Linked DNA regions of Saccharomyces cerevisiae S288C. The main gene of each other region encodes a partner of the protein of the gene in region 2 in a complex. Each region holds a gene or a part of one and is shown on either strand. Other genes may lie near its edges. A codon is read from its position in the direction of its gene.

Region 1 (6,685 bases), on a different chromosome or scaffold from region 2:
TTATTGAATTGGTCAACAATATGTTGCCTCGAATTAACGGGTAGCTCGCTGTTTAAAATACAGGACTTGATACCAAATTGTTCCATAACTAGCTTGAGCCTATATCCTCTGTCAATATTATTTACAAAAATTAATGTTTTACCCTTGATTAAGTTAAGTTTAAAAATGACATAGCATAGTAAGAATTTGTCAAATTCACTGACTTTAACGTAATATTGAAGTAATTTGTTTTGGTTCTTATTTATTTCCTCGTCATTGAATTTAAGAATAGCTGGAGAACGACAAAATTTTTGTTTCAAAGCCTGTATATCGTCATTTAGGGTTGCACTCATCAAAAATGTTTGTAAATTTTTTTTCAATGGTAAGTACTCTCCAATTTTGTTTAAATCATCTTGATAACCAAATGTTAACACTAAATCCACCTCATCAACTACTAAAAATTTTAGTTCGTTCAATGAGATAGAATTAATCTTTGTTTGCAACAAATCCAATAATTTACCAGGTGTACCAACTATGATTTCTGGTTGATCCATAAGTAGAGTGCTCAAAACTGAGTCAGACATATCGGATGATATGTTCAGAGTTCTTATATCTTTTGAACAATATAAGACTAGTTTTTCTAAAACATTATATACTTGTTGAGCCAGTTCTCTTGTTGGAACAAGTATAATACCTAGTGTACCATTTTCCTCTCCGTTATCAATTGTTTTTTTATATTCTAGGATAGTTTCAATTACAGGAATGAGGTATGCCAAAGTTTTTCCGGAACCTGTAGCGGCCTTTGCTATAATATCTCTCTTCTGTTGTAAAGCCAAAGGAATAGCATGTGATTGAATTAATGTTGGGTACTGAAATCCTATATTCTTAATAGCTTGTAATAAACGAGAGTCGAGATGAAATGCTTCGAACGTTGTAGAATCGTCAATATAAGCGCCTTCCACAGACTTTTTCTCATAGCTCATTTTTTTGATCTTTCGTTGCAGTTTTGGCTTAGTCTATTTCTTTTGTGAGATAAATTGTAGATTGACTATAACTATCAGCCAAAACAAAAGGCTCTTACTCAATGAAAGAAATTAGAAGAATCGAAATGAAATGAGATGAGATGAGATGAGATGAGATGGTCTAGAAGAGTTATTCTTTATGTTCGTGAAAAAAAATTTTTAAAATTTCATCTCTAGGTTTCATTACGTAAAGAGTGATTAAGGTAAACAATAAAAGGCAGTTCTAACCAGATTTTGGTTTGGTATTACTTCTATAAAGTAGTCTACTTAGTATGCGTAACTGTTTTTAACATAGCGGTGTGACCAAATTACCACCAATATTTAAGAGGCTTTCCACCCTACCTTTCAAAGGATTTGAATTACATTCTAAAATTTTCATATTGTTGAAGTCAATCTTAGCAGTGCTTTTACCTATGGTAACCACTCCAGTTATAGTTTCCTCTTTATTACTTGCATATTCATCTTTATTGAGAAATAAAGTAAAACAGTCACCAAACTGTTCTTTAAACAACCTTGAGATTTGCTTCACCCTCTCAACTTCATCAATCTTACCTTGTGCATTAGACTGCACATTGTTATGATCATGATCATCACAAGAATGACTCGAAAGCTTGACACTGGCGGGAGCTGAATCCACATTCATAAGTATAGCAATAATGGAGTCTGCTACAGTGTCATTCATTAAATCTTGAGTCCATTCCACAACGGCTAGAGTATTAACAATAGTTAACTTAATATCACCCATTATCTGTAGAATCAATTTACCTGTATTGGTCAGATTGTCTTTTGACTCTTCTTTAACCTTTGGTTCTTGATTTGTTACTCTATCATCATCTTGAAGAACTTCAGCCTCTCCAAACATTTGTAAAATGTGCCAGTAAATTAGCTCCTTTTTACAATTTACACGAACTGACTGGCGCTCTCTTAATATCGTTGTAGAAAGATCGGGATGGTGCTCTCTTAAATCAGACAAAGAAAGGAAGTCTAATTCGAAATTTTTGTCATCTGAAACTAGAATCCCAGAAACGACTATGTCTTTGTGTTCCTCTTCATCAACCAAACCTTTTTCTGCTTGAGAATCCAAGTTGTCTTCGTTTTCTTCCTTTATAGGTTCAATTTTAGCCGCAATTTCTTCCTTTATCTCTACGTTTTCTTCTTTATATATTTCGTTCACAATATTTCCCACAGCTTTTGCAACCTTGACACCTTGAAATTCAAGATCTACTTCAACACAGTTTCTAGGATTAAAAACATGGACTTCATTATCTGTACCCTTTAAAGACGCGAAATTGGATAACAATGCAGATTTCAAACGGCCCATGGGATTGGCTTCTCCATGAACAAGGATGATATTTGGCGCACTAATCTTTTCAATAAATTCTAAATTTTCCTGGAAGTCAACGTGTGCGGCAAAGGAGATTTCTTCAACTTGACAACGTCTTGGAATGGTTATTTCCGGATTATTTATGGAAGGTATTGTATCTGGCTCAAGCATAATAAATTTCGCCATTGTTCCTTCGATGGAGTAACCGGTGATTAGTACTAGATTTTTATCTTCAGGGCACCACCTTTCAAGTAAATCTCTTGATAACCCACTTTGCAGCATACCTGGTGAGGCCAACATCACACTGGGACCAAAATCTTGGAAATCCTCCAAGTTTCTAAGATAAGATATATTTTTGAATATGAAGGGATTAGTCTGAGAGTCTCTAAATTTTTTTCTAATGTCATCATTCATCATATTTACATAGGTTTGAAAAACGCTCATACATTTTTTTGCCAAATTTGATGCATAAAATATTGGGACTTGTCCACCACCGAGTTCATCAGCATGTTGAGACCAGTACTCATCCAGTATAAGCATGATTTCTTGAGCTCTCCCTAAAGCAAAAACAGGCAGTAGAACACGGCCTCCTCTCATCACTGTGGAATGGATTAGTTGGGTTAGCTTCCTTTCTCTATTTAAACGGGGCTCGTGAGTAGCGGTACCAAAGGTAGATTCCACAATTAATACGTTGGATGAAAGTGGAGGCACCTCAGCAGAATTTAAGTGACGATCTACTTCTCTCGAATAGTCACCTGTGAATAACACCCTAAGGCCAGCAATCTCTATTTGAAACATCGCTGCACCCAATACATGGCCTGCATGGAATGCCGTAAATTTGATACCATTGACGTCAACAGTAGAATGATAGTCCACCGTTTCAATTTTATCGAAAGAATCAACTAAATCCTCATCTGAGAATAGACCTTCGTCTTTAGTCCCCATAGAGGAGGATGAAGAACCTATACTAGTAACTCTTACAAAATCTCGCAGTAGCCATCTGTAAATGGCTTTGGTTGGATGTGTCATGAAAACTCTGCCTTGAAAGTTAGTCCGTTGCATCACATACGGAAGTGAAGCGGCATGGTCTAAATGGAAATGTGATATCAGTAAGATATCGACTTTGGAAAGATCAAATTCATCGTAAAAAGGTAATGAAGCTAATCCTTGATATGCCGGATGAATTCCTGCGTCGAGCATCACTGTTTTACCTTTATATTGCAATATATGACATGATCGTCCAACTTCGTTACTTCCTCCCAATGAAAAAAATTTGAATGTTGTTGTATTTGTTCGCTCCATATATGCGTATACTTATTAATGTTAACTTATTATGTTACTTTTTATTTCCTCAATGGACAAAATTCAATTGATAATACAATGTTTCTTTTGTGCTGTAACTTTTGAAGTACTGAAAACAAGGGTAAAAGAAATAAACGCTTATACCCGTGAACATTTTGAACCTATTAGATGTGATCTCAATATGTATTGCGCTGAAGCAGTAGAAGTTGTTAAAGATCCGCTAGTTTTTCATAATTTTCGGCCAGAATAACTGCTTACCCGTATTTATTTGCAAACACGCTACTTAGTCTTTTGGAGAGGACTTTATACAGGAAAGAAAGAGTTTTATTGATTTTAAAAACAATATAAATGAAAGAAAAAAATGTGTTTTAGATTAGGCTTATAAGATATGACCCATATCATAATTAAAAAAAGCGATTTAGTTGTTCTTTTAAAAAAAAAGAGAAAAAAAAAAAAAAAAAAAAAAGGAATGAGTTTGTACATACTATTATATTAATGTAGTATCACGTTAAAAAGCCGTAGTCATCATTAATCGTCCAAAAGTCTTCTACCGGACCAGATGTCATCATGTTATCCCAGTTAGAACGCTTTTTCCTGATGTCTGCGTTAGTTACTGTAGGAATAACATTGTCGAAATGCAGATTTGCGCTAGTGTTTGCTTCCACCTGTGTTTTAGGTCCATTCTTCTCTGTTTCGTCAAGATTATATTGTACACCTTCCTGATTGGACATCATGAACAAATTTCTGTTATACGAAGGGTCATTCTGCGTCTGTTGAAAATTATTAGCGGTTACATTGTTTTCAGAACACATATTTTGTTGTTGATGTTGTTGCTGCTGTTTGTCCATGGACAGAGATGAAGGCTCTTGACTCTGGGGAAATATTGTTTGTAGTATGGACTTGCTATTCAAAGCATCTAGAACGGAGTTATTGGTCCAGGTGGAAATATTGTTGATCATGTCATGAGCACCGTTGCTGAAAAGTATATCGCCCGAAGAAGAGCCATTTCGAGCTTGTTTGACACTGACCGGAATTGAATTGCTAGTAAATGACGCTGGTATCGAGGAGATAATATTATTGCCATAATCTGCTCTTAGGGGTGATGTACTGAAATTTGATTCTTCGACATCTCTTAATTGCTTATTTTCACTTGTATGGTTAGAGAATATTGCAGATTGTAGAGGATTACTGTTGATCATACCATTGTTTAATTGATTCGTAAAATTGCTTTCTGAGAATCTTTGTGGAGAAGTAATATGTTGTTGTGGCTGCTCCCGCTGTTGTTGCGGCAGTGGTCGTGATACATGCTGTTGCGGTAGCATATTGGAAGTTTGAGGATATGGAGTTGGGCTTTGCGTCATCGCTATTGGAATCGGATCCGAATGCGAAGAGGCTGTAGATATGCTAGAAGATTTTGAAGGACTTCTATTGGTCATAGTATCGGTGTTCAGGGACGATAGATACGCTTGTAAATTGTGCTGAGCTAGTTGCTGTTGTAGAAAGGCCTGCTGTTGAAATACTTGCCAATCAAACTCTGTTTGGTTGGTTGGTTTCTTGACGATATATTGGTCTTGAATAGGCCTTTCTACATCATTTTCCATAGTTACGTTGTTGTTACGAACATACTGGCTGTTGTTGCCATTATTGCAGCTGTTGTTGGTAGTGCTTCTGCTATTACTTTCATTATCATTATTATTAACATTATTATTATTATTACTATTATTATTATTATTGTTATTATTATTATTATTATCATTATTATTGTTGTGATTATTGTTGTGTTCTCTGTTGACGCTGCTGATGGTCATACCATTGTTATCATTGTTTACATTGATTTTCAGGTTTTTTTCTTGGGAAGAAGGAAACGATAATGTCGACGATGATGACGAAGAAGAAGATGATGACGAAGAAGATGTTGTATAAGACATTGAAGAATTTGAAATACGTGACCTGTCATCCATTTTGGTTAATAGGTGAGCTAAACTTTTGGGTACAGAGGTCTTTTCTAAAACACCTTGCTTCTTCTTGAATTTCTCTTGTTCAGCCAAATCCACTTGTGAATTTTCCACAAAACCGGCGTGCTCTTCAGCTTGTCCTTTACCAAATATTCTAGCCACAGCAGGCGGCATACCGCCATTATGAGATATATTTTTATCGTTTGAATTGGATAGATTAGCTGCATTTGCGGAGTTAGAATCATGAAGAGTATCCCCAGATGAAATTGCCTTATTGGCCTCATCATTGATGTTCTTGGGTTCAGTACGCTTGGCGACACTACTAGCCATGAAAATTAACTCAGAAGAGTCTGGACCACATCTTTCAATCAAATTACCTACCGTGGCATTCATTAACTGATCGAAAGTATCTCTAAAGGTTCTTGCAAAATTAGACCTTTCTGTCATAACATATAAACAAACGGAGCAAGCTCTCAAATCATCCATCGTCGAAAAGAGACTTGCACTGATTAAAGGTCTAGTATGCTTCGAAGCATCGCCTAATTTCTTCCTCCTTTGATCGTCAAAATTCCTGGCTAACCACATACAGTAGATTAAAGTTACGCCAGCTACAAAAACCGTATGCACTGCTGGTGTAGAATGACCATTAAGCGTTTTTTGATGGAATATCTTGTATAACTGACAAATTTGACCCGCAGCAGCTTGACATTCTCTAAATAGTCTATCCTCCGGGGCGAAAAATTCCAAATATGGTTGTATAAGCAATCGCACTGATCTATAGTAATAAAGTTTTAGTGTCTCGTTTTCGAAATTTTTCACGTCAAGAGTGGAATAACTTTTTCTCCAAACTTCCAAATCTTCAAAAAATTTTCGTACTAGGGGCAATTGATCAATGGATTGCTTCACTGACCTGGAATCGTTTTTCAATAGCTGTAAAGTCTCTACAAATTGAGATTCAATTCTTCGCAGCTTTAGAGACTGATTGATGAATTGCACACCATGGTCATTGGTTGATGGAGCCGCCGCATGCACACCTTTTGTATAAAAAGAGTCGTTATTGAAAAGAGGTAAATTTATTTCCGACTCCTTGATTGTATAAGGTT
Region 2 (5,926 bases):
GAAAATAAGATTATTATGGCTCATAACGAAGATGAAGAATATTTGGCTAATTTAGAAACAATATTGAGAGACGTAAAAACCGCATTCAACGAGGCTTCTTCTATAACACTTTATGGCGATGAAATTATTCTCGTCAATTGTTTCCAACCGTATAATCATTCCCTTTACAAGCTGAATACTACTGTGGAGAATTGGTTTTATAATATGCACTCTGAAACTGATGGTTCTGAATTGTTCAAGTATTTAAGGACATTGAATGGTTTTGCTTCTACTTTGTCAAATGATGTTCTTAGATCCATTTCTAAGAAGTTTCTTGATATAATAACAGGAGAGCTGCCTGATTCTATGACTACCGTAGAAAAATTTACGGACATTTTCAAAAATTGCCTAGAAAATCAATTTGAAATCACAAATCTAAAGATTCTTTTCGACGAATTAAACTCTTTTGATATACCCGTTGTTTTAAATGATTTAATCAATAACCAAATGAAGCCTGGTATATTTTGGAAAAAGGATTTCATCTCTGCAATCAAATTCGATGGTTTCACAAGTATAATTTCCCTAGAATCTCTTCACCAGTTACTTTCCATACATTATCGTATTACTTTACAAGTATTGTTAACATTCGTTCTGTTCGATCTTGATACCGAAATTTTCGGACAGCATATATCTACATTATTGGATTTGCATTATAAGCAATTTTTATTGTTAAACCTTTATAGACAAGATAAGTGTCTGTTGGCGGAAGTTCTTCTCAAGGATTCTTCTGAATTCTCTTTCGGTGTCAAATTTTTTAACTACGGCCAACTCATTGCCTATATCGATTCCTTAAACTCTAATGTTTACAATGCTTCCATCACTGAAAATTCTTTCTTTATGACGTTTTTCCGCTCATATATCATTGAAAACACATCTCATAAGAATATAAGGTTCTTTCTCGAGAACGTTGAATGCCCCTTCTACTTACGCCACAACGAGGTGCAAGAATTTATGTTTGCCATGACGTTATTTAGTTGTGGTAATTTCGATCAATCCTATGAAATTTTTCAACTACACGATTATCCGGAGGCTATCAATGATAAATTGCCGACATTCTTAGAAGACCTTAAGAGTGAAAACTATCACGGTGATAGTATATGGAAAGATCTTTTGTGCACCTTTACAGTTCCATATAGGCATTCTGCATTCTATTATCAATTATCTCTCTTATTTGATAGAAATAACAGCCAAGAATTTGCTTTGAAATGTATATCTAAGTCAGCAGAATATTCATTAAAAGAAATTCAGATTGAAGAACTGCAAGACTTCAAAGAAAAACAGCATATTCATTATTTAAATCTTTTAATCCACTTCAGAATGTTTGAAGAAGTCTTGGATGTTTTGAGATTGGGTCACGAGTGTCTTTCCGACACAGTAAGAACAAATTTTCTCCAATTATTATTACAGGAAGACATATATTCACGAGATTTTTTCAGCACACTTCTGCGCTTGTGTAACGCACATTCAGACAATGGCGAGCTATATCTTCGTACAGTAGATATTAAAATAGTGGATAGTATTCTGTCACAAAATCTACGGAGTGGTGATTGGGAGTGTTTTAAGAAACTTTATTGTTTTAGAATGTTGAACAAAAGCGAGAGGGCTGCTGCAGAAGTACTGTACCAGTACATATTAATGCAAGCTGATCTTGATGTTATTCGAAAGAGAAAATGTTACCTAATGGTCATCAACGTTTTATCTAGCTTTGATAGTGCATACGATCAATGGATTCTAAACGGAAGTAAAGTGGTTACTTTAACTGATTTAAGAGATGAGTTACGAGGTCTATAGTGAATATATAAACTGTAAATTAATACTTCATTTAAAAAATTGATCAACTCAAATCCGAATATTAGCACCATGATCTTCGTTTGTTTTTTAAGTAAAAAGATTGAACTTTAAATCTAAATTATTATTACATGAATGTACAGACAGGAAAAATAAAAAACAAAAACAGAAGAATCACAAGTTCCCTAATATAAAAGAATACAAAACATTATTTCATGACACTGTTCCTAGAGCTTGTATTAAAAGCGGTAGAAGAGAGGAGATAATAGAGAAATTTCAATGTAACTATTGGTCAACAAAGCATCCGGGCATATAGCATAGATATTACTCGCTCTTTTTTGAGTTACATGCCACAATCCTCAACTTATCCACCGAAATTACACTTTGGCTATCTCCAGACCCGTTCTGGGAGGCGTCGCGGTGGCTGTCCTCAACAGTAACCTGACAATTTTTTACGATAAAAGTCCAAACATCATCGCAAAATCCATATGTGTCCAGGTTTCCTTTCACAGTCAATTTAGATTGGGTATTGTCTTTTAAAGTCTCAGCCACCACTTTGTCAAATGTCTCTAAAACACGCATAGCTAACGACGCTTCTATTCTCCCATCACTAATTAAAGTATCAAGAGCATCCACCAAACTATTCCCTATAGTACTTCTACGATATAATTCGTAATACCCGGGTACTGCCATTTATCCTTACTGTTATCTTCGATAGCCTGTGTCCCCCTCCTAACCTCTAAGTGCATCTTCTACTTATTCCTTATTCGGTCGAATATTTCACAAAGTATTCTAAGGCGTTAAGAAAATATTGTTATTAGTAAAATTAGCTTACCCGGCAATACAACAATAATGAAGCTAACATTATGTTGTATTGACAATTCAGTTCATGTTTGACATTTGCCTAGCAGAAGACATTATCTGCCATGCAACCTGAAAATTCATAGAACTTTTGGAACTTATTTATCTATCTTTCTTCAATTTCTTTGGTTAACACTTTTTTTTTATGTTTTTTTACGTTTTGAGATCATAAATATTTGGAAATATAAATAATCACAAATTCATAACAACTCTTTTTTTAGATAAAGTAAAAACACAGTTATGTATGTAAAGTATTTTAAAACATAAAAAAGGATGATCGACTTGATATATTCATTATCATGTAGTGTATAAGCGGTAAATATAACTACCTTAATCCATTGCTGGTGCAATAACCTTCCTTATGCCATTATATTATGTCACAACATTGTAATTCAGGCGGGTAACTTTACTGAAAGTTAATACAATGATGATGAATATCAAGCATATTGTTAATAACCAAGTTTATGGCCAACATAAAATAAGCAAGAACAATCAAGAGGGTACTGAAATTTCGGTAGCTCTCATCATATCGGCAGAGACTGGAATAGTGTAACATGAGTAGCACGATATTTTACCGCTTTAAGTCTCAACGAAACACATCAAGAATTTTATTTGATGGTACCGGCCTGACAGTATTTGATTTGAAAAGGGAAATTATTCAAGAGAACAAACTAGGTGACGGCACAGATTTCCAATTAAAAATTTACAACCCAGATACAGAAGAGGAATACGACGATGATGCCTTTGTTATACCTAGATCTACTAGTGTCATAGTAAAAAGATCTCCAGCAATTAAATCATTCTCCGTACACAGTCGACTTAAAGGGAATGTGGGAGCAGCAGCTCTTGGGAACGCAACAAGGTATGTTACTGGTAGGCCAAGAGTGTTGCAAAAGAGACAACACACTGCTACAACCACTGCTAATGTTAGTGGTACAACGGAAGAAGAAAGAATTGCTAGTATGTTTGCCACACAAGAAAATCAATGGGAACAAACGCAAGAAGAAATGTCTGCAGCCACACCTGTTTTTTTCAAGTCACAGACGAATAAGAATTCTGCACAAGAAAACGAAGGCCCACCGCCACCAGGTTATATGTGCTATCGTTGTGGGGGTAGAGACCACTGGATTAAAAATTGTCCAACTAACAGCGATCCAAATTTTGAAGGAAAAAGAATCAGAAGAACCACAGGTATTCCAAAGAAGTTTTTAAAATCCATTGAAATAGATCCCGAGACAATGACACCGGAAGAGATGGCTCAGCGAAAGATTATGATTACGGACGAAGGCAAGTTCGTGGTACAAGTTGAAGACAAACAATCATGGGAAGACTACCAAAGGAAAAGAGAGAACCGTCAAATTGATGGTGATGAAACCATTTGGAGAAAAGGCCATTTCAAAGATCTTCCTGACGATTTAAAATGTCCCTTGACAGGTGGTCTTTTGAGGCAGCCGGTAAAGACAAGCAAGTGCTGTAACATAGATTTCTCAAAAGAGGCGCTGGAAAATGCACTGGTAGAGAGCGACTTTGTATGCCCCAATTGCGAAACCCGCGATATCCTTCTCGATTCTTTAGTACCCGACCAGGACAAGGAAAAGGAGGTCGAAACGTTTTTGAAGAAACAAGAGGAACTACACGGAAGCTCTAAAGATGGCAACCAGCCAGAAACTAAGAAAATGAAGTTGATGGATCCAACTGGCACCGCTGGCTTGAACAACAATACCAGCCTTCCAACTTCTGTAAATAACGGCGGTACGCCAGTGCCACCAGTACCGTTACCTTTCGGTATACCTCCTTTCCCCATGTTTCCAATGCCCTTCATGCCTCCAACGGCTACTATCACAAATCCTCATCAAGCTGACGCAAGCCCTAAGAAATGAATAACAATACTGACAGTACTAAATAATTGCCTACTTGGCTTCACATACGTTGCATACGTCGATATAGATAATAATGATAATGACAGCAGGATTATCGTAATACGTAATAGTTGAAAATCTCAAAAATGTGTGGGTCATTACGTAAATAATGATAGGAATGGGATTCTTCTATTTTTCCTTTTTCCATTCTAGCAGCCGTCGGGAAAACGTGGCATCCTCTCTTTCGGGCTCAATTGGAGTCACGCTGCCGTGAGCATCCTCTCTTTCCATATCTAACAACTGAGCACGTAACCAATGGAAAAGCATGAGCTTAGCGTTGCTCCAAAAAAGTATTGGATGGTTAATACCATTTGTCTGTTCTCTTCTGACTTTGACTCCTCAAAAAAAAAAAATCTACAATCAACAGATCGCTTCAATTACGCCCTCACAAAAACTTTTTTCCTTCTTCTTCGCCCACGTTAAATTTTATCCCTCATGTTGTCTAACGGATTTCTGCACTTGATTTATTATAAAAAGACAAAGACATAATACTTCTCTATCAATTTCAGTTATTGTTCTTCCTTGCGTTATTCTTCTGTTCTTCTTTTTCTTTTGTCATATATAACCATAACCAAGTAATACATATTCAAAATGGGTGTTGAACAAATCTTAAAGAGAAAGACCGGTGTCATCGTTGGTGAAGATGTCCACAACTTATTCACTTACGCTAAGGAACACAAGTTCGCTATTCCAGCTATTAACGTCACCTCTTCTTCTACTGCCGTCGCTGCTTTAGAAGCTGCTAGAGACAGCAAGTCCCCAATCATTTTGCAAACCTCTAACGGTGGTGCTGCTTACTTCGCTGGTAAGGGTATCTCTAACGAAGGTCAAAATGCTTCCATCAAGGGTGCTATTGCCGCTGCCCACTACATCAGATCCATTGCTCCAGCTTACGGTATCCCAGTTGTCTTACACTCTGACCACTGTGCCAAGAAGTTGTTGCCATGGTTCGATGGTATGTTGGAAGCTGATGAAGCTTACTTCAAGGAACACGGTGAACCATTATTCTCCTCCCACATGTTGGATTTGTCTGAAGAAACCGATGAAGAAAACATCTCTACTTGTGTCAAGTACTTCAAGAGAATGGCCGCTATGGACCAATGGTTAGAAATGGAAATCGGTATTACCGGTGGTGAAGAAGATGGTGTTAACAACGAAAACGCTGACAAGGAAGACTTGTACACCAAGCCAGAACAAGTTTACAACGTCTACAAGGCTTTGCACCCAATCTCTCCAAACTTCTCCATTGCTGCTGCTTTCGGTAACTGTCACGGTTTGTACGCTGGTGACATCGCTTTGAGACCAGAAATCTTGGCTGA
Region 3 (5,828 bases), on a different chromosome or scaffold from region 2:
CTGGATTGTTAGGTTGAACTAACGTATAAAATTAGGGGATAAAATGAAGAAAAGAAGATAAACTAATCAAAGAGGCAAAAAAAAAGGTCCTTTGAATCAAACTCTACTATATTAGTTATATTTTGAAGATTTGGTGTGAACTCTTCACATGAGAAGGGAATAAAAGGGAACACAGTGGAAAGAATCTGTATTTTCATATGCCTACTTATAAATTCACATGTGTCGGAGATCCACGTTATCTAACATTTGAGGTTTTGCCGTTTCTGGCATCGCCGTTCATTTTCACAGTTTTGTGTGGAAAACTTCGCGAATAATGAATGCGGCATGAGAAAAGTGTGGCAATTGACTGTCTTGACCAATTTAAACCAAGGCAAAAATATATATTTAACAAGGCAAACATTTAATGTTGGAAGTTTAGTGCCGCTTTTAGTGATAAGAGGTACAGATGCAAGAACCATCTAATTAGGTGTGGTTTTCTGATACGCTATGGCTCTGATTACTTAGATTATATATTCTTTTCTAAAGTTTTCCACCATAAGTTGCTGGTCACTTGGTAAACTTTGGATCTGGGCAGGTGTCAAAGTAAGAACTTGTTTGATCATATCTTGTTGGTTTTCAGGTAGTAATTGCAGTTTCGCCATATTAATGGTGCCGCTGTCATTCGCTTTATTCGCGTTAGAGGGTCCTTCTGTAGAACTTATATTTTGTTGCTGGACCTGGCCGAGTTGATTTGCCAACACAGGCTGTCCCATGGAGGGGCCTTGAGCTGGAGGCATGAAAGGGCCCGGTGGCGCAAAACCGAACGGTTGTTGTTGCAGAGGTAAAGGGATAAATGGTGGTGTCGACATAGGCATTGGCATAGCTACGTTCAGTGGCATATTGTTAGGATTGTTGCTGACTTCATTAGAAGGTACATGCAACGGAGTGTTATTTCTAATTACGCTTACGGGGGTGTTCGAATTACTTGTGTTATTACTCGAAAGCAAAGATGGGGCCTCGCCAACTTGGGATTTCAACACTTTAGTCACCACGCTGTAGTCTATAAATCCCATTTCTAGTAGGGCTTGGGTCACTGATATTGTGATATCACTGTTAGTATCTAAGAAAGATTCTAATTGCGATTTTTGGATGTTTTCTTGGTTTGATAATATTTTCAAATTTGATATAATTTCAATAAGTTGCAACGGCGGAATTTTACTTAAATTTTGTGAAATTTTGTCTGGTGCAATAATCGAGCCATCTTGGAAACTTGGCAAGTGTTTAGATGCTTTACTTAGTATGTCGGGGAATTGAATGTTTGTGTTATTTGATACAGAGTTTGTGTTATTTGCAGCCTGTGGTGGCGGTGGTCGCCTAGGAATGGGGACTTCTGTCACCATTTCGAAAGGTAGCTCCAAACCCGCCTCGAAGGGGTACGAATCTCTATTAAGTTGTAATACCTGCTTTTGAGAATTTTTATTTGCTGTTTCTCTAAGATGGTCCTTATAATTTGGTGGGATTATTTGCTCTATCTTTACGGGAAAGTTTTCAATTCTATTTAAAATTTCCCAAGCGCGTTTACAATCTTTACTAGTCAAATAATCGAACAGTACACCGGTTAGTTTACCAGTTCTCGGGTCATTCTTAGCTTTTATATCTATAACTGGACCAGAACCGGCCACGACCGAAGTAATTATATCTTGGTTCCATTCTGGAGGTAAGTTTGTGATTTGTAATGTAGAGGATAAATTCTCCGGTGTCAAGAAATGACGGCCTGTTCTTCTTCTGGGATCTGTCATCAATTTTTTTCCTTCGTTCTTCGTTCTTCGTCTTCTCCAGTTGTGAGTTTTCTAAATATACCTATATATAAAATAATAAAATCTAATCAATGCAACGTGTTTGACAGTGACGTTTACAGATAGGACGACCGGATGAGCGACTGAAAAAGGTGCTATTATGAATGCACGGTTTCGCAAGACCTCAAACAATCGTACTAGTATTTCTGAAATTCTGCTTTACTGCCCGACCTTTCCAACATGTCGCTGTTTTTTTGTTTTTCTTCAGAGTCGGGTAAGAGCAATAAAGTGAAAAGTTAACAGATTCAAACACTGATGTGATGCATGCATGATAAGGAATTTGTAAAAATAATAGAACAATGCTGCTTCGTATAGGCGCTATTTAATTAAGTAGTTATATAAAGAGAACGGTGCAATTGAATAGGAAAGGAATGACGGATTTTGCTTCTATGTTTGCTTTTATTTGAAGCGTGGGTTCTTATTTATGCTAAGTAGCTCAGTAAATCCATCTTAGTAACGATATGGATTGGTTTCAAGCCATCAGTGATAACGGCAGATGAGTTTTTTTCAAAGAAACGATTCAAGTCAGATAGCTTTGAGTTTTCATCGAATTTAATAAACTTCTTCTTACCGGATTTATTTTCGTTGTAAGAGGAAACATCATTGAAATTGTTTAATTTCTTGAAGTCCAAGTATTTACCCTTTATAGTGTTGTCGTTGTTTGAATTATTGATTGATAGTTTTCTTAGAAGCTCAGAGAGAGTAACTAAACCAGACAACTTGCCGTCTTCAGTCAACACAGGCAATTGGTCAAAGCCATTGTCTTTTAATATCTTGATAACATCAGTGACCTTAGCGGTTTCCTTAACGGAAACAACCGGTTTCAAGTGAAGATCCTTTACAGTAGCGTTACCAAACACATCAGCGTATTTTGTCGTCGAAGCCTCCAGCTTTGAAGAGTCAAAACGGGCCAACACGTCATCATCCCACAAATTGTTCTTTTTCAACCATTCGTCATCGACGAATTTGGTTAGGTACGACCTGATGGAATCTGGGAATATGGCAACAATGACATCATCTTCAGTCAGTTCAGGGTGGTCTTCACAGTATTTCACAACCGCAGTGAAGGCAGAACCGGAAGAACCACCCACCAAGACACCTTCGTTAGAAATCAATTGTCTGGCGTATTTGAAAGAAGGCTTGTCGTCTGTCTTATACCAAACATCAATTAATTTTCTGTCCAAAACCTGAGGAACAAAATCATAACCAATACCCTCAACTTTGTAGTCAGTGATATCAGTCTTATTCAAGTTTTCAGGTTGGGCTAAAATTGAACCGAATGGGTCAGCACCAACGATTTGGATCTTATCATTCTGTTCTTTCAAGTACTTGGAAATACCGCTAATAGTCCCACCAGTACCAGCACCAGCAACAACAGCGCGTAGATTATCAAATAAATTCAAGTCTTCTAGCTGTCTTTGGATTTCGCGACCAGTACCAAAGTAATGAGCTTCTGGGTTCATCATATTGTTATATTGGTCAAGTATAACAGCACCAGGAATCTCTTTTTCCAACTTCTTAGCAACACCAATATGTGATTCTGGAGAATCCCAGGCAGCAGCAGTTGGAGTTCTGATGATTTCAGCACCCAGAGCCTTTAGGACAGAAACTTTCTCGTTAGACATTTTTTCCGGCAAGGTGATGATAGTTCTGTAACCTTTGATGGCGCCGATTAAAGCTAGACCGATACCGGTGTTACCAGAAGTAGGTTCGATCAGAGTAGATCTGGAAGGATGAATTCTACCGGAAGCTTCAGCTTCTTCCACCATAGACTTGGCAATTCTGTCTTTGATGGAACCACCTGGATTGTATAGTTCCAGCTTAGCATAAATTTGTGGTTTGATACCCAAAGCCTTAGGCAATTTTTTCAGTGCGATCAATGGGGTGTTACCAACTAAGTCGATAACGTTATGTCTTGAATCGGCTTGCTGCTCAGATTTAGTCATTTTTATTCTTACGTCGTATTTATCTAGATGTCCTTTGAGCAAGTGGCCTACAACGAAATCTTCAAGTGTTGCCTTTTACTTTGGCATAGAAGCATCACGACATTTATATATACAAGCCTGGTGAAGTGCCTTGCGTTTACTTTAACCTTTAGGAGAAAAAAATTTTCGGTGTTGGTTTCTTTTTTTCCTTTCGGTGCAAAACTGTGGAGGAAGATGGCAATAAATTAGTGAAACGGTAATGCCGTGTGGACTGCATATGCCGGATATAGCATTTATCAGTCACGACAGAGCTGATTATCCTTACTTGGGTGAAGTTGAAGTTGTTGTGATAAGGTTAGAATGCAAATGAAGCTTTGTCAGCGCTGAGAAAGAAAATTTTGTTTTGTGAGCCACTACTATCACGTGCCATTACCATTTTAATCAGTTATGAAATAGGGGAATGTGTCATTGAGGGAAAATGTAATGGCCACCAAATGAATCAGAGGGTCGGATGAGAACACACCCTTACTAACTGCTGTTCATATCTCACAGTTGCCATTGATAAGCTCTGGTGGGAAAATACCCTTGATTTTTGGTAGCACATATTGACATAACAAAAGTCTTGACTTTGCCAATTGGAGAGATGGCCACTTATAGAGGAAAATACTCGTAAAAATAATCATAAACAGTAAGCCATGTCAGTATCTTACAAGGGAACAATTTCTAAGACACATTCTGTTTTTAAACCAGAAAAAGGAAGGTATTATATTTACGGGGCCCTTGGGTGTCCATTCACTCATAGAGCCATTCTTGCCAGGTCTTTGAAGAAATTAGAACCTGTTCTAGGGCTTGTGTTATCTCACTGGCAATTAGACTCCAAGGGTGCCCGTTTCTTACCTGCTCCACACCGGCCGGAAAAATATAAAGAGAGATTCTTTACTGCCACTGGTGGCATTGCTTCAGCTAAATTAGACGAATCTGAGGAGTTAGGTGATGTGAACAATGACTCTGCAAGGTTGTTCGTGGATGGCGCTTTCGACCCGGTGGAAAATATATCAAGGTTAAGCGAGTTGTACTACTTAAATGATCCTAAGTACCCCGGTACAAAGTTCACTGTGCCTGTTCTGTGGGATTCTAAAACAAGGAAAATTGTTAACAATGAGAGTGGCGATATCATAAGAATTTTGAACAGTGGCGTGTTTGATGAATTTATCCAAAGCGAAGAAACGAACGTGATTGATCTAGTTCCGCATGATTTAATAGACGAGATTGATAAGAACATCAAATGGGTTCATCCGAAGATTAATCTTGGTGTCTATAAAGTCGGATTAGCAGAAAACGGAAAGATTTACGAAACTGAAGTAAAAACACTGTTTGAAAACTTGCAGAAGATGGAATGTGTACTAAAAGAAAATTATAAGCGCTTAGAGGAGCAATTCAGTGGTAACAAACAGAAAATCTTGGCTAAATATTTTGTTTTAGGACAGAGGTTAACTGAAGCGGATATCAGATTGTATCCATCAATAATTAGATTTGACGTCGTGTACGTGCAGCACTTCAAATGCAATTTGAAAACTATAAGGGATGGTTTCCCGTACCTTCATTTGTGGTTGATTAATCTATACTGGAATTACGCAGAGTTTAGATTTACTACAGATTTTAATCATATTAAGCTCTTTTACATCAGGATGGAAGTAAGTAGGAACAAGATCAATCAGTTTGGTATAGTGCCATTAGGCCCAAAGCCTGACATTTCTAGATTATGAAAACTTCTAATATTTTCTTACACACACATATATTTATATGCATGGCTATACTTCAAAAGAGGTTGTCACTTCCATTTCCATGTAGGTAAAACTCGTGTATAGACGGAACACAGACTTCCCTAGTTTTATTGACTTCATAGTCTCTGCACCATTCAATTATGTCTCTGTAAAAGAGACTCTTCTTTATATCGCCCTTTTCTATATTCTCCATCTCCAGTTCTTTGAAGCATTTTGCTTTTCTCGATTTATGACAACCACACGGTTTTACACTCTCCTCTCCATGTTCTACCATTTCATGCCTC
Region 4 (5,630 bases), on a different chromosome or scaffold from region 2:
ATTCCGCGTATTTACGCGGGGATAAAGAGAAAACAAAGGAGAAAAGGAATTTCCTCAATTCCGATGACTAGTACCTCCGAGCAAGCAATCATCGGCGAACAGATGTAAAAAGAGAGTTTTAAACACTGAGTTTTATTTATCAAGAACGTACCCGTACAGCTATCGTTTCAGGCAGATAACAAAAATGTGATTGAAATTAAAGTAGTTTTGTTTGGAATCATGATAATTAAATATTTCATTAATTTGAAGTTACTAAGTAATGAAGCTAGCCCGAGAAACGCAAATGCTCAGAGAGCCCGGCAGTAATTGTGTACACAGAACTATACAAGCCGCTGGATAAAGCTTATTCGTTGATGTCATCCGCTATTACCTCTCCTAATCATGGCTGCAGGAAATCTTTTCTCTCAACATCTTGTACCACTTTAAAATGCGGTAGCAAAGGACAAACGGTAAAACGTTACACTGCCACGGTGTTATAGCAGCCGCAAAGTGAGTAAGCATGTGATGGTACCTTCAATACTGCGTTGGAGAAAAAAAGTGCGTATCTTTGTTTACTTTTCGTCTTCGAGGGGAAGGATCAAAGGCGCATGCGTGCCCGCAGGAGGGGGCGCCAGGATTGGGGGTAGATACAACATCAAGGAAGCGTCATGGTGGCTTCTTGGGTCTTAAATACGCAGGGAATTAAAGTTTCATTTATGTGCCTTTACATGCACTCAAAAACCTTCTTAGTTACAGGAAAAGGTAAAGATACGATAAGAAAAGCCTTTGAACTGCCCATCCTGCATCCTAACACAGATCTAACTCACTATTCGGGTAAGGAAGTGTCATGCATGTCTGCAAAGGGACTAGAAGAAAGTTACATGATTACATAAGCAAAAAATCGGAATTACAGACACACCATTTTTTATCCTGCGGCCCCATTTCCGTCTTCGAGGGAAAGGATCAAAGGCGCTTAGCCCAATCTTGATGATTCACCGGGGAAGAAAGGAATTACAGAACCCCCAGCCACGTAACACAGCCAATTAGTTTTCTATATCGGGAAACGTGATTGATTGCGCAATTTTGGCTGCATCAGAATACATCGATGAGATCTAGAGCACCCTTTGATGGTTTAAGTCCGGTTTAAAGTTAGTAGATCAATGATTTCGTAGTGCATTTTAAAGGGAGCGCTTATCCATGGGTGATTGCGTTTACAACGTTTTGTGTGTACTCATAATAGCCAATCTAAAATTAAACAACAACAACAACGCACAATTAATATGTATCAGCCCCAATACCTTTTTCTCTTACTGTAATTTACTACTAAATTGGGGTCGGACGTTTTTGATCTTGTTCCTTGCCTGTTGTTTACCTTGTATATTACTTTTCCTCTTTTATGTATTTAAGGTAAATTAATTATCTTTTGATCTTAATATTTTTCTCAAAATGCTTCCCTTGTAGTTCGGTATTTTTGCTTCTTCAGATATTTAAACTACCGTATACCATAACTGTTTCGTGAAGTAGATACAAACATCGACTATCCTATTACGATTTATTTTACATTATCATATTATAAATCGACCAGTAGTATTGTTAAAGATTAAAAGCATAATATACTACTGTCATTAGTCACCTACAGAGAAACAAATTCCTACTGGCACCCATTACTGGTGAAAAAGGAAAAAAATAATAAAAGAAAAGCTTTTCTATTCCTCTCCCCACAAACAAAATGCAAGCGGATATGCATGGAAAACTTCACGCTGCCTTAGAAGATGGTTTCTTCCTCTTTCCTTTTGAACAGCAACAACAACCTAACATTTATTATGACACAACCACCGATCAAGAAGACCGTCCTTGTTTTTCTTTTGGATCTACAATTTCCCCTAGAAGTTGGCATTTTGAAAAGTCTGACAAAATTGCCTCATCTCAGCTGCAGAACTTGGTTCATACACAACCAATTCATTTAATTAATCCTCAAATATTGTTCAATGAAGAGTTTCTGAATTTGGAAAATATTGATTCTCAGCCTATTTCCAAGGAAACGAAAACTACGAAGGACTGCACAATGGCAACTGGTCCTGAAAGAGGAAAAAAGAGCTCTGAAAGTACCAGATCCTCTTCATTATCATCTCTTTTTTCTAATGATGAATCCGCATCTACGTTCCACTCATCATTCAATAACCATGATAACTTTCAAAAGAGCAACAGAAATGGAGATGATATCGATATTAGTGACACAATAAAATATGAAACTAATACAAATGCACAAAAAGATATCAAAATATTCCAAGAAAATTTTGAATTCAATGAATTCCCATACACACAAGACTTCTACCCATATACCACTAATTATACCTATTCAAAACCCACAAATATTCATGAATCAATAAATTCAAAAAACACGGATTCATACTCCCAATATCAAGATCAGTTTCCACCACATACTGATAACATACATTCCTTTAATAATCGTCACTATAGCAACCATAAAAGCACTAATTGTAATTACTATAATAATACCAGCAATAATAACAACGCCTCCGATAATGTATATGAGGCAGATCCATTTATAGATGAACCTCAGGTGCCCTCCTACTATTACCCATTAGAAATTGCCTTCGACGTTGAAAAATCACCACCGCCATCACTACAAAAATTAAATTCAAAAGAGTTAGAATTCCTAAAAAAGTTGAACTCCAAACTGTCAAGATATGCTGCGGCTTACTCCTTCAGCAGTTCTAATGATCAAGATTATTATGACAAGGTCAGGTTTCAAGAAATATCCTACAAGTTTAGTAAAACCTATTCTTAATTCTCGAAAAGTACTACAATCTTCCCCCTTCCCTCAAAATATATCCATTCACACTCATTTCTTTATTTCCATTGTCTCACTCAAATTGCTAAGAATTTGTGTATTTGCATATATATATATTATATATAGGTATATATATGTATTCAATGTCTCAAGCTCCATGACATAATACCGTAGCGTTATTAGCCTTATCGTATGTCGCGATGGGAAAGGAGATTCGTTTTAATCTTGAAAAACCTTCGTAGCGAATAATGCGACATAAATCTTGAGAGAGTACATCACCAAATTCACTTTGTTAAACCGCACCATCGTGCTTTGCATTCTTATTCCTTTTGCCTACACTAAAATTATTAGCATTTCTCTAAATGAGCTCCAGTGAAGACGAAGACGACAAGTTCTTGTATGGTTCCGACTCCGAATTAGCACTACCTTCATCTAAACGATCAAGAGATGATGAAGCAGACGCAGGTGCGTCCAGTAATCCTGATATAGTTAAAAGGCAAAAATTCGACTCTCCCGTGGAAGAAACTCCAGCTACTGCCAGAGATGATCGTTCTGATGAAGATATCTACTCTGACTCCTCAGATGACGATAGTGATTCTGACCTAGAGGTTATCATAAGTCTGGGTCCTGACCCTACTAGGTTAGATGCAAAACTACTCGATTCTTATTCTACCGCAGCGACATCTTCAAGCAAAGACGTAATTAGCGTAGCTACAGATGTATCCAATACCATCACAAAGACATCAGATGAAAGACTAATAACAGAAGGAGAAGCAAATCAAGGTGTAACGGCAACGACCGTAAAAGCTACAGAGAGCGATGGAAATGTACCGAAAGCAATGACTGGTTCTATAGACCTGGATAAAGAGGGAATCTTTGATAGTGTTGGCATAACGACAATAGATCCTGAAGTATTAAAGGAGAAACCCTGGAGGCAACCGGGGGCCAACTTAAGTGATTATTTCAATTACGGTTTTAACGAATTTACCTGGATGGAGTATTTACATAGACAGGAAAAACTACAACAAGATTATAATCCTAGGAGGATCCTAATGGGCCTATTATCCCTCCAACAGCAAGGGAAGTTGAATTCCGCGAATGATACAGACTCAAACCTCGGTAATATAATTGATAACAACAACAACGTAAACAATGCAAATATGTCTAATCTGAACAGTAATATGGGTAATAGTATGTCTGGAACACCAAACCCTCCCGCTCCACCAATGCATCCAAGCTTCCCACCCTTACCTATGTTTGGTAGCTTTCCACCATTCCCCATGCCAGGTATGATGCCACCCATGAACCAACAGCCTAATCAAAATCAAAATCAAAATTCGAAATGAATGGGGATCTGTGAAATTGAAATAAAAATATATCGTCCATGATTCACGTATTTACTCTTATTATGTGTATTTAATTAATCTTTAAACTAAAGACCTCTCAGTCATCAGATTATATGCTGTTTTCATTCCATTAATCACCTTCTAATTAAAATCTTGCTTCAAATTATGACCGGTTGTTCGAGTCTTTTCCTCCTCAGCTAACTTTTCACAATACTTTTTCACCCAGGGTTGATGGAAAACATTCAACTCAACAACTTCCTGGAGCTTATTGTACCAATCACTTTTTTCCTCATTAGAGCATTCCGCGTTGAAAGTAATTCTTTCACCATCGTCAAATACTAGCTGGAAGCATTCATTAAAGAGTACCCAATCTGTAAAATTCCTTTGCCCTCCATTATCCGCCTGGATGTCTTCATTACGTAGGACTTTCGTGACTTTCAACAGATTAATATCGATCTTAGCCTTTCTAGAGATTTCATGATAACCAGAAAGTTGCGAGCCGTGCAGTTTGAAAAACCTGTTTTCTATCTTTCCTTTCAGATCACCACCATCCTGCAATAAATACCCTTCTTTATAGATATTTTGTTGCAACTTGTATTTGGAAACAATCTTATTGACCAATGAAAATTGTTTGGGAAATTGTTCAAAGGCAGAAGTTCTTTCTAAGAAACATGCTTCCACATCCAACGAAGCCACTTTGTGAGGCGCCTTGCGTGGTAACTCGTACAGCCTTTTTGAGCCGTGAATTTTGTCTGCGATTCTACTCCACTTGTTAATCATATTGTAATGCATATGACTGGTATTAAATGCCACGTTTTTCAAAAACTCTTCATTAATTTCAATTTCACAACGAGCAAATGAACCGTCTTGTGCAAATAGATAATCCCACTCATCTTGTTTAGGTTTTTTCTGTACATACTTCTTTTCAAATTTATACTTTGTCTTTCCAAAAAAACTCTTACCCACCGGCACCTTGTCTACTATTTCGACCAATTCATGTCGAGGTTTTTCATATTTACATTTTAATGTGATAACACATTTTTTGTAGCTATCTCTTTCAGAAGAAGCGGAGGATGTTTCGGCTTTTCCTTTAAAATCTATGGGCAATTCAAATTCCTTATTGATCCTGATGTTACCGTCATACGGAAGCGACTCCCAGGGTGTCTGAACGACATTTTCCCCATTGTCAAAAACAATAGCATATGTTGCTCTATGACTCTTAGTTCCATATAATGCAAGCGTGGAAATAGCCTTTATACTTAAATAAAGTGTTCCCATATCCGGAAATTCTTGTTCAACGTCTTGTGGTTCTTCAAGTTGAGTTATCGTTTCTTCTTTTGCTTCGACGTTATCTTTTGTCTGCGCTAGCAGTGGAGGAATATCTTGTTTCAAACCATCGGTTTCTTGCTGCGTCATTGGCTCTATTTCCTCTTCAGCCTTAATGTTTATTTCATTATTCTCTTGTTTGTTTCCAGCTTTCACGACCTTGA

The links.
Region 1: the proteins of MPE1 (region 2) and YSH1 are in contact, whole or in part, in a crystal structure (PDB 6I1D), measured with the Saccharomyces cerevisiae proteins. Residues at the interface, in NP_012864.1 of Saccharomyces cerevisiae: Phe9 (codon at 3,267), Lys10 (codon at 3,270), Ser11 (codon at 3,273), Gln12 (codon at 3,276), Arg13 (codon at 3,279), Asn14 (codon at 3,282), Asn38 (codon at 3,354), Lys39 (codon at 3,357), Leu40 (codon at 3,360), Asp45 (codon at 3,375), Phe46 (codon at 3,378), Val74 (codon at 3,462), Lys75 (codon at 3,465), Arg76 (codon at 3,468), Ser77 (codon at 3,471), Pro78 (codon at 3,474); in NP_013379.1 of Saccharomyces cerevisiae: Arg22 (codon at 3,564), Tyr44 (codon at 3,498), Leu47 (codon at 3,489), Ala48 (codon at 3,486), Leu50 (codon at 3,480), Pro51 (codon at 3,477), Phe52 (codon at 3,474), Tyr53 (codon at 3,471), Asp54 (codon at 3,468), Glu55 (codon at 3,465), Tyr79 (codon at 3,393), Gln82 (codon at 3,384), Arg83 (codon at 3,381), Thr84 (codon at 3,378), Asn85 (codon at 3,375), Asn464 (codon at 2,238), Cys465 (codon at 2,235).
Region 3: MPE1 (region 2) and PTI1 share a complex: the UniProt entries of both Saccharomyces cerevisiae proteins name them as parts of the cleavage and polyadenylation factor (CPF) complex.
Region 4: MPE1 (region 2) and FIP1 share a complex: the UniProt entries of both Saccharomyces cerevisiae proteins name them as parts of the cleavage and polyadenylation factor (CPF) complex.

Annotation. Positions count from the first base shown.
Region 1 is NC_001144.5:695,869-702,553, forward strand, and holds YSH1 (cleavage polyadenylation factor subunit YSH1), read right to left. Parts: upstream 3,628-6,685; coding exon 1,288-3,627; downstream 1-1,287. Other genes in the region: DBP9 (ATP-dependent DNA/RNA helicase), read right to left, coding at 1-962; YLR278C (uncharacterized protein), read right to left, coding at 4,131-6,685. UniProt on the Saccharomyces cerevisiae protein: Component of the cleavage and polyadenylation factor (CPF) complex, which plays a key role in polyadenylation-dependent pre-mRNA 3'-end formation and cooperates with cleavage factors including the CFIA complex and NAB4/CFIB. Has endonuclease activity.
Region 2 is NC_001143.9:326,760-332,685, reverse strand, and holds MPE1 (cleavage polyadenylation factor subunit MPE1), read left to right. Parts: upstream 1-3,242; coding exon 3,243-4,568; downstream 4,569-5,926. Other genes in the region: NUP120 (Nup120p), read left to right, coding at 1-1,830; TOA2 (transcription initiation factor IIA subunit gamma), read right to left, coding at 2,152-2,520; fructose-bisphosphate aldolase FBA1, read left to right, coding at 5,199-5,926. UniProt on the Saccharomyces cerevisiae protein: Component of the cleavage and polyadenylation factor (CPF) complex, which plays a key role in polyadenylation-dependent pre-mRNA 3'-end formation and cooperates with cleavage factors including the CFIA complex and NAB4/CFIB.
Region 3 is NC_001139.9:796,496-802,323, reverse strand, and holds PTI1 (cleavage polyadenylation factor subunit PTI1), read right to left. Parts: upstream 1,779-5,828; coding exon 501-1,778; downstream 1-500. Other genes in the region: cystathionine beta-synthase CYS4, read right to left, coding at 2,258-3,781; GTO1 (omega-class glutathione transferase), read left to right, coding at 4,456-5,526; YGR153W (uncharacterized protein), read right to left, coding at 5,579-5,828. UniProt on the Saccharomyces cerevisiae protein: Component of the cleavage and polyadenylation factor (CPF) complex, which plays a key role in polyadenylation-dependent pre-mRNA 3'-end formation and cooperates with cleavage factors including the CFIA complex and NAB4/CFIB.
Region 4 is NC_001142.9:601,730-607,359, reverse strand, and holds FIP1 (cleavage polyadenylation factor subunit FIP1), read left to right. Parts: upstream 1-3,156; coding exon 3,157-4,140; downstream 4,141-5,630. Other genes in the region: transcription factor IME1, read left to right, coding at 1,709-2,791; BUD4 (Bud4p), read right to left, coding at 4,282-5,630. UniProt on the Saccharomyces cerevisiae protein: Polymerase-regulating component of the cleavage and polyadenylation factor (CPF) complex, which plays a key role in polyadenylation-dependent pre-mRNA 3'-end formation and cooperates with cleavage factors including the CFIA complex and NAB4/CFIB.